Macaca mulatta: one gene and its partner. The main gene of each other region encodes a partner of the protein of the gene in region 2 in a complex. Links are inferred from orthologs where the notes say so. Each region holds a gene or a part of one and is shown on either strand. Other genes may lie near its edges. The genes, in order: ARPC5 and ARPC3.

Evidence for each region.
Region 1: ARPC3 (region 2) and ARPC5 share a complex: the UniProt entries of both Homo sapiens proteins name them as parts of the arp2/3 complex. The link is inferred for Macaca mulatta from reciprocal best matches to the Homo sapiens genes ARPC3 and ARPC5.

What each region holds. Positions count from the first base shown.
Region 1 is NC_133406.1:41,108,165-41,112,538, forward strand, and holds the start of ARPC5 (actin-related protein 2/3 complex subunit 5), read right to left. Parts: upstream 2,957-4,374; 5' UTR 2,813-2,956; coding exon 2,669-2,812; exon of another isoform or gene 1,726-2,668; intron 187-1,725; coding exon 115-186; intron 1-114. UniProt on the Homo sapiens protein: Component of the Arp2/3 complex, a multiprotein complex that mediates actin polymerization upon stimulation by nucleation-promoting factor (NPF).
Region 2 is NC_133416.1:117,612,794-117,616,608, reverse strand, and holds part of ARPC3 (actin-related protein 2/3 complex subunit 3), read left to right. Parts: intron 1-1,853; coding exon 1,854-1,953; intron 1,954-3,815. UniProt on the Homo sapiens protein: Component of the Arp2/3 complex, a multiprotein complex that mediates actin polymerization upon stimulation by nucleation-promoting factor (NPF).

The DNA of each region.
Region 1 (4,374 bases), on a different chromosome or scaffold from region 2:
ATGTCAAAGTTAGCAAACGGTTAAAATATTGGTTTTTTTTTTTTTGCAACTGCAGAGGATTTTACTAAGAATAAGGTATCAGCAGAGATCACTGTGTTGTAGTCTGCGACTCACCTTCACTGCCTGACTCTTGGTGTTGATAGGGGGGTTCTTCAGAGCTGCCTGTAGGGCAGCTGTCATGTTTCCTGTGATGGAAGTTAAGGGTGTAGCAGCAAAGCATGGCCCCCAGGAAAGTATTATAACCACTGGTTCTGAAGACTTGCTTTATATATAAAAAGAAAATTACTGGTCACCATGTTCAATACTGGAAATTCAATGTGTTGGTTTCCAGGATGTTAATCAAGGGCAAGATATCAAAAGCAAAACAGAACATTAGACTTTCTTTTTAATAAAGCAAAGACTGTTTCACCCTTGGTTCTAACTATCAAATGAACACCTTGATAGTCTTTCATTGCCCAGTGAGATACATATGCAAACATTACCTAGAGTGGTGTTAAAGAAATCCTAGGCCGGGCGCGGTGGCTCAAGCCTGTAATCCCAGCACTTTGGGAGGCCGAGACCGGCGGATCACGAGGTCAGGAGATCGAGACCATCCTGGCGAACACGGTGAAACCCCGTCTCTACTAAAAAATACAAAAAACTAGCCGGGCGAAGTGGCGGGCGCCTGTAATCCCAGCTACTCGGGAGGCTGAGGCAGGAGAATGGCTAAACCCGGGAGGCGGAGCTTGCAGTAAGCTGAGATCCGGCCACTGCACTCCAGCCTGGGTGACAGAGCGAGACTCCCGTCTCAAAAAAAAAAAAAAAAAAAAAAAAAGAAATCCTAAAATATGTATCAGAATTATTAGTCCCCCAAATGAAATAACCTATTATCAACCAAAATATGTCTTTTCCTGTGATTCTAATTGAAAAAATAAAGACCAAACTTTTACTATATTCTATATTAACTGAAATGCTGGTAGAACATGCTGGCAGATTAGCAATCTCAATGATACACATTAGCAGTCTCTCAATATTGATGAAAAGAGGCATCACAGAAGATGTAATAATTCATATGTCCCTTAGGTGGCAGCTTAATTTTTTGCTTTAGATATTTTCTCTCATATTTCACAACGGTTATTCAAACTGTGTTAGACCATACCTATTAAATTCAGACTCTCTTTGAAAGCACTAGTGAGTTAGCAAGCATGAGAAACAGAAGGCCAATCAGACTGTCAGAATGTACCAGACATTCCCCTAAAAGGAAAACCACAGAGTTCACTTGTTCCTCCATCTCTAGTACCCCACCACTAGGGCTGTCTTTCCTGGCTGTATGTAAGGGTAAGAAAAGACAGTATCTTTTTATTTTAAGATGTACTGATCAAAAAGCGGATCCACTGATATGGACACAGCAGTCACCATAAATTACCTAAAATACATTGGGGTTTCATAAAACACCATCTATCCATCACAAATGTTTTTAGGAAGCATGTTCACCATTTATCTTCCGAAGAAAAAGTTCTCACACACACAAAATCTCTGGTTGACAAGCTGTTATTTTCAAGGCTGCAAGGATTTCTAGAGAAGCATGCCTCATGTGATTAGCTCATTTTGTATGACCCCAAGCACTTATTTAAATAATGCAAAAGAGCAACAGCTAATTAATTGTGAAAGTTGTGGCAATCAAAGGACTAGCTATATATTGATAAATGTCTAATGCTGTATTTAGGTGCCTTTAAAAAAGGATACTGTTGCCATTAAATATTTTCACTCACATTTTCCTCATATAACAGGACATTGAGTCTTCCTTATGAATACACCCAATAATTAGAAATGCATAAAAAGCCAGTGTTTGAGATTTTCTAAAACTATAGCTTCGGTTTTTTGCAACATTTACATTTTTCTAAAAAAGATGTAATGCAAATACGGAGTCAAAGTTATGAATATTCAAATATGCAAAAACAGAAACCGGGAACTGACAGCCATATTTTAACTAAAATGGAATCAATTTTAGGAATACAAAAAATTGTATTCATTCCCCTCCCCCGGTTAACAAATTCTGTGCAATGTATATTTTGTCAAATCCCCCCCTCCCTTTTTTTTCTTTTTTTAAAGGCCAATGGGCTGAAAGCATAGGGGACCTCAATTTTCAAACCGTACCATCTACCTTCTGCCCCCGGTAAGGAATAAACTATCTTAATGCTAGCAATAACAAAAACACAACAAAAAACAAAATCACTAAGGAAAGACGCAGGTTCCCCACAATCAGAAATTTCTGGAGCTAATGTGACTCCGGGAAATAGAGTTCTAGGAAGAAAAACTTAGGCGCTCGGCACCAGCCTTCCCCACCAGCCCGGGCCGCCTTCCCCAACGCCGCGAAGGCGCGGCCGGCGGGACCGGTTCCCGAGGCAGGCAGGCACTCGGGTGCAACCTGAGGAATCTGGGGGCGTGGAAGGCGCGCGGGGGAGGGCAGGCTTCCAAGAGTGGGACCCTCGCGTCTCCTGGCTCCTGAGTAGGAAACGGGGGCTTCCTCCTGCCCTCTCAGAGCGGGAGACCCCAAAGAGACAGGTTTAGCCGCAGGTAGACAGGGCAGCTCCGCGCCGGGGCCCCGCGGAACCTTCAGGCTCCCGGGTCTCTGGACAAGGGCGGGCTGGGCTGGGCTAGGGTGGGGAGGGCGGCGAATGCAAGGATATTGCCGTAGGCAGGAGTCCACCTCGCCCTCATCGGGCCCGGCCTGGCCGTCGCCCCCATCTTCTTCGTCCACGAACTTGTTCTCGTCATATTCATCCACGTCCACCTTCCGGAACCGGGCTGACGACACTGTGTTCTTCGACATCCCAATCCCTACCAGCGGCAAAGGCCTCTTCTTGGAGCTGCCTCTACCTCAGCAAGCCGAGCCCAGCAGCCCACTGCCCGGCGCCTGATTCACTTCCCTCTTCCGCTCTGGGGCGTCGCCGGCTGCCGTGGCTGGGACGGTTCTGGGCCTGCGCGCCAACCCTGCTGCTTCCTCCTCAGGTTCACGCTCTCCTGGCGCCTCCCACGCCGCCCCCACTCTTTCACGGAGAGCGCGCGCGGGGGAGGGAGGGCGCAGGACACAGCGCGCAGGCGCGGGCTCTCCGTAGGCAAGGGGCGGGGCTGGGCGAAGGAGGAGGGGGCGAGAGGGAGGGCCGAAACCTGGATCGCGGGCGGAGGTAAGAAACGATTGGTCGTCCGAGTGCGTCACGTGATTCCCAGGGGGTTCCCATAGAAACGCTTTTCTGCGGTCCAGTCTAGGGGGTCTGAGGTTGTCGGTGATGGGCAGCAGCGGCAGGTGGCATTGACTTTTGCTGCAGCCGTCAACGACCTGTCATCCGGGTCCTGCGTAAGGTCCGACTGGCTGGGACTTGGATGTGGGTGGGATGGACTTGGCTGCCGGACCGAGTGCCCTGCAGTTGGCAGGAGTATGAGGCGGAGTGATGCACACCCGGGCGCCCAGCATCGTTCTAATTGCCGGAGACGTTACCTCGGACTGTGCGCTGCTAGGGGCTGCGTTCCTGAGCGGGAAGCCCGTTTCCTGGGGTTGGAACTACCCTACTTGGCCAGCGGGAGGTCCCCAAGGACGGAGTCGAAAGGTCAAATCTTATCTGTCAGTGCTGTGTGACAGCATCACGACGGGATCTGCAGAACCTGAACTCGGTATCAAATCTACTGGGAGGGAGGGGAATGTGTCCGGGCAGGCGCTGGGGTCGGTTGGCAAAACTGGGGTGAATTTGTAGAATTTGGGAAAGGGTCATTGACATCTTAAAATAGGTGGTTGTTTGGAGCAAGAATGCTGAAAAGGGGTGAGGGTAGGTTAGGCTCTCTAGTGCTGGGGGAAAACAAAATGGGTAAGGATTGGTGGAAACCAGACCTTTAAGATTTATATTATGATTTAAGATTTATATGATTCCATCTAGGCCAGATTTTAAAAAAAATATTTGACATCCCCATTTCCGGAATGTAGGAGATAAAGGCACTAAGACGAAGGAAATGGTAGTTGTGCTGTGTGTATTACACTGAAGAACAAATATTTGCAGGATAAAATTAATTTGGACATTTGGCTGGACATTGCTCAGGTATGGGTCTAGTTTAGTTGGACCTCGAACAGAAGACTGGCTGTTGTCCTGTTGTGTGCCACAATCTTTGGTTTCCAGTGCTGTGTTGAAAAGAGCACTGGGCTTATAATCAGAAAACTCAGGCTTAAGTCTTGACTCTTCCGCTCATAATGTTTGAACGAGACATGTCACTTGAAATTCTGTCTCAGATTCCTCATCACCGAAATGGAGCTAATAATGTGCACTTTACAAGATTGTTCTTAGGATTAAATATCACGAAAGTGTTTCCAAGCTCTAAAATTCTACATAAATGTAAAATGCATGT
Region 2 (3,815 bases):
GTCTTGCACATAGAATGTGCTTAGCAATCATTTGATGGATGAATATATGAATGGGACCCATGTTGTCTTATAAAAAGCCAGGCATCTTGTAAAAAGCAGAACTAAGAATCAGCATACAGAATGCTGTCATAAATGTGATTTTTTTCTCCCTTCCTTTAACTCACACTTACCCACTGAAGGGAATATATATATTCTCATTTTACAAATTTGGAAACAAGCTAAGAGAAGAAGAATGATGCCTTGGTCAAAGCATAACGCCAGGAAGTGGCAGAGCTGAAAAGATAGTGCTTGGGTCTTGGTTTAGCTGGGGGCTGGGTACCCTGATTTATATGATGTTTGCCTTTCTGTGGTGGAAATACTTTGACCAGATACCAATGTGATGTCACCAAACATAGAATTGGAAGAGATGCACAGCAGCACCCCATTATTTAGTATTTCGTAATAATAACTTTAAGAACATGACAATAGGAAAATGTAATTTTTAAAAATTAGGTTATTGCCGGGCGCGGTGGCTCATGCCTGTAATCCCAGCACTTTGGGAGGCTGAGGTGGGCGGATCATGGGGTCAGGAGTTTGAGACCAGCCTGACCAACATGGTGAAACCCTGTCTCTACTAAAAATACAAAAATTAGCTGGGCGTGGTGGCTCGCACCTCTAATCCCAGCTACTCAAGAAGCTGGGCGGGAGAATCGCTTGAACCCAGGAGGCGGAGGTTTCAGTGAACAGAGATCGCGCCACTGCACTTCAGCCTGGGTGACAGGGCGAGACTCCGTCTCAAAAAAAAAAAAAAAAATTTAGGAAGTAGGCCAAGTGCAGTGCAGTGGCTCACGCCTGTAATCCCAACACTTTGGGAGGCCGAGGCGGGCGGATCACCTGAGGCCGGGAGTTCAACACCAGCCTGGCCAAAATGGAGAAACCCCTTCTCTACCAAAACTACAAAATTAGCTGGGCGTGGTGGCACATCCCTGTAATCACAGCTACTCAGGAGGCTGAGGCAGGAGAATCGCTTGAACCCGGGAGGCAGAGGTTGCAGTGGGCCAAGGTCACGTCATTGCACTCCAGCCTGGGCAACAAGAGCAAAACTCTGTCTCAAAAAAATAAAATGTAGGCAGTAGCTGGGTGAGGTGGCTCTTGCCTGTAGTCCCAGCCCTTTGGGAGGCCGAGGCAGGCATATCACTTGAGCTTAGGAGTTCGAGACCATCTTAGGCAACATGGTGAGACTCCTTCTCAAAAAAAAAAAAAAAGAAGTAGTGATGAATATTTAAGCATCATTGGTTTTAACATCATTTACTTTTTTTTTTTTTGAGACAGAGTCTCGCTCTGTTGCCCAGGCTGGAGTGCAGTGGGATGATCTTGGTTCACTGCAACCTTCGCCTCCTGGGTTCAAGTGATTCTCCAGCTTAGCCTCCCAAGTAACTGGGACTACAGGCGCACACTGCCACGCCCGGCTAATTTTTGTATTTTAGTAGAGATGGGGTTTCACTGTGTTGCCCAGGCTGGTCGCGAACTCCTGACCTCAGGCAATCCGCCTGCCTCAGCCTCCCAAAGTGCTGGGATTACAGGCGTGAGCCACCGCGCCGGCCAACATCATTTACTTAATTGTAAGTTTATATAATTTGATTTTTGAGAACAGCTGTGTTTAACAACCAGCTTGAAAAATGCCTCATAATTTAACAGTTGGTTTTCTTGAGCCAGAAAGAACCAGCTCTAGCACCTCAATGCTGCTATCCCTTCTCCCTCCCCTGATTAATCTTGGGTGGGTTACTCTTTTTTTCCTTTAAGGAAAGGTTGTTTGCCACAGTGACATTTGCTCTCTTTCTGCTTCTGTGTTCTTCCTGGGCTTGCCATTACAGGCTTACCACTCTTCTCTCATGGATCCTGACACCAAACTCATCGGAAACATGGCACTGTTACCTATTAGAAGTCAATTCAAAGGACCTGCACCCAGAGAGAGTAAGTCTAAACCCATTATTTTCAAATTTTGGCATGAAATGCCTAACAGTCTTCTAAAATGGTCAAATCAGGGAAATTCTTAGCTCAGTCTTCTCTCTCAAATTGTCCTTGTACTTTGGTAGATATTGTGGTCTAGACCTTTCAAGATAGTGGTTATATGTTGCATTTAATAGGAAATTGTATTATTTCTTCTGACTTCTCCAGGAAACTCTTTTGAGAAAATGGAGGAAATGTGCTTAATTCTGGACACTGTTTATCAGTTCTTTCAAACAAATCTAATGCTGTTACGTGTAGAATGCCACATGCCCATCCTTTCTGTTATCAACCTGGAAGAAAACAACAAATATTTTGACCTCTTCCCCGTCTAAATCTACTTCCTTTATTCATTCTTCAAGATCTTCATTTTTAGCAATACCTCAATCTTAAATCTGAAGTATACTATGTAACATTACTTTTGTCTATTCCTGCTTTTCTGAGTTTTATTTCAGAAAGCTGCAATATTTTTCAGACACTGTCTGAGACTCTTCTGACGCTTTCTGAGATGTTCTTCCAACAGTATTATTTGTATTATATTAGACACGGTTTCCCTGTACCCTGCAAGGGTCTGAACTGAATTCCATTCATGGTTTCTAAGACCATTATTATAATTATCAATTTGGTACTGATCCAATTCCCATTTCTCTGCCAGACTATTTGACTTGACCTTTTTTTAACTTAATTTTGTTTTCAACACCATTTGAAAGCTCAGTAAACTTTATAAATATGGTGAGTCACCACAGTCTCTACTTGATTCTGAGGAAAAGGAACAAGGAAGAAGACAGCCTGAGAGAGAAGAAAAATAACATAAAAGAAAATCACAGGGCTGGGCGCAGTGGCTCACACTTGTAATCCCAGAACTTTGGGAGGCCAGGGCAAGTGGATCACTTAAGGTCAGGAGTTCGAGACCAGCCTGGCAAACATGGCAAAACCCCATCTCTACTAAAAATACAAAAATTAGCTAGGCATGGTGGTGGGCACCTGTGATCCCAGCTACTCAGGAGGCTGAGACAGGAGAATTGCTTGAACACAGTGGGTGGAGGTTGCAGTGAGCCAAGATTGCACCACTGCACTCCAGCCTGGGCGACAGAGTGAGACTCCATCTCAAAAAAAAAAAACAAAAATTACACTGCAAAGGCCAGGCGTGGTGGCTCACACCTCTAATCCCAGCACTTTGAGAGGTCGAAGTGGATGGATCACCTGAGTTCAGGAGTTCGAGACCAGCCTGAACAACGTGGAGAAACCCCGTCTCTACTAAAAATACAAAAAATTAGCCAGGTGTGGTGGCACATGCCTGTAATCCCAGCTACTTGGGAGATTGAGGCAGGAGAATCGCTTGAACCTAGGAGGTGGAGGTTGCAGTGAGCTGACCTGGGAGGTGGAGGTTGCAGTGAGCTGAGATCATGCCATTGCACTCCACCCTGGGCAACAAGAGCAAAACTCTTGTTTCAAAAGGAAAAAAAAAAAAAAGAAAAAGAAAAACACCTGAATTGGAATGGAGGCCTGTGCTGTGAGCTAAATAACAGTATTAATCACACTAATTCATTTATATTCAACAAATATCTATAGAATGCCTCTTATGTGCCAAGTATTCTTCTAATTTCAGAATCCTTTGGCCTTTGCCCCCTCCTGTCATTACATTTAGAAGAACTAGCTGGTTTTTGTAAACAATATTGAGTCCTCCAAGAAAGTTTCCTTTCACAGATAAGAAAACAGATTGCAGCCAGGCACAGTGGCTCATGCCTATAATCCCAGCACTTTGGGAAGCCAAGATGGGCAGATTGCCTCAGGTCAGGAGTTTGAGACCAGCCTGGCCAACGTGGTGA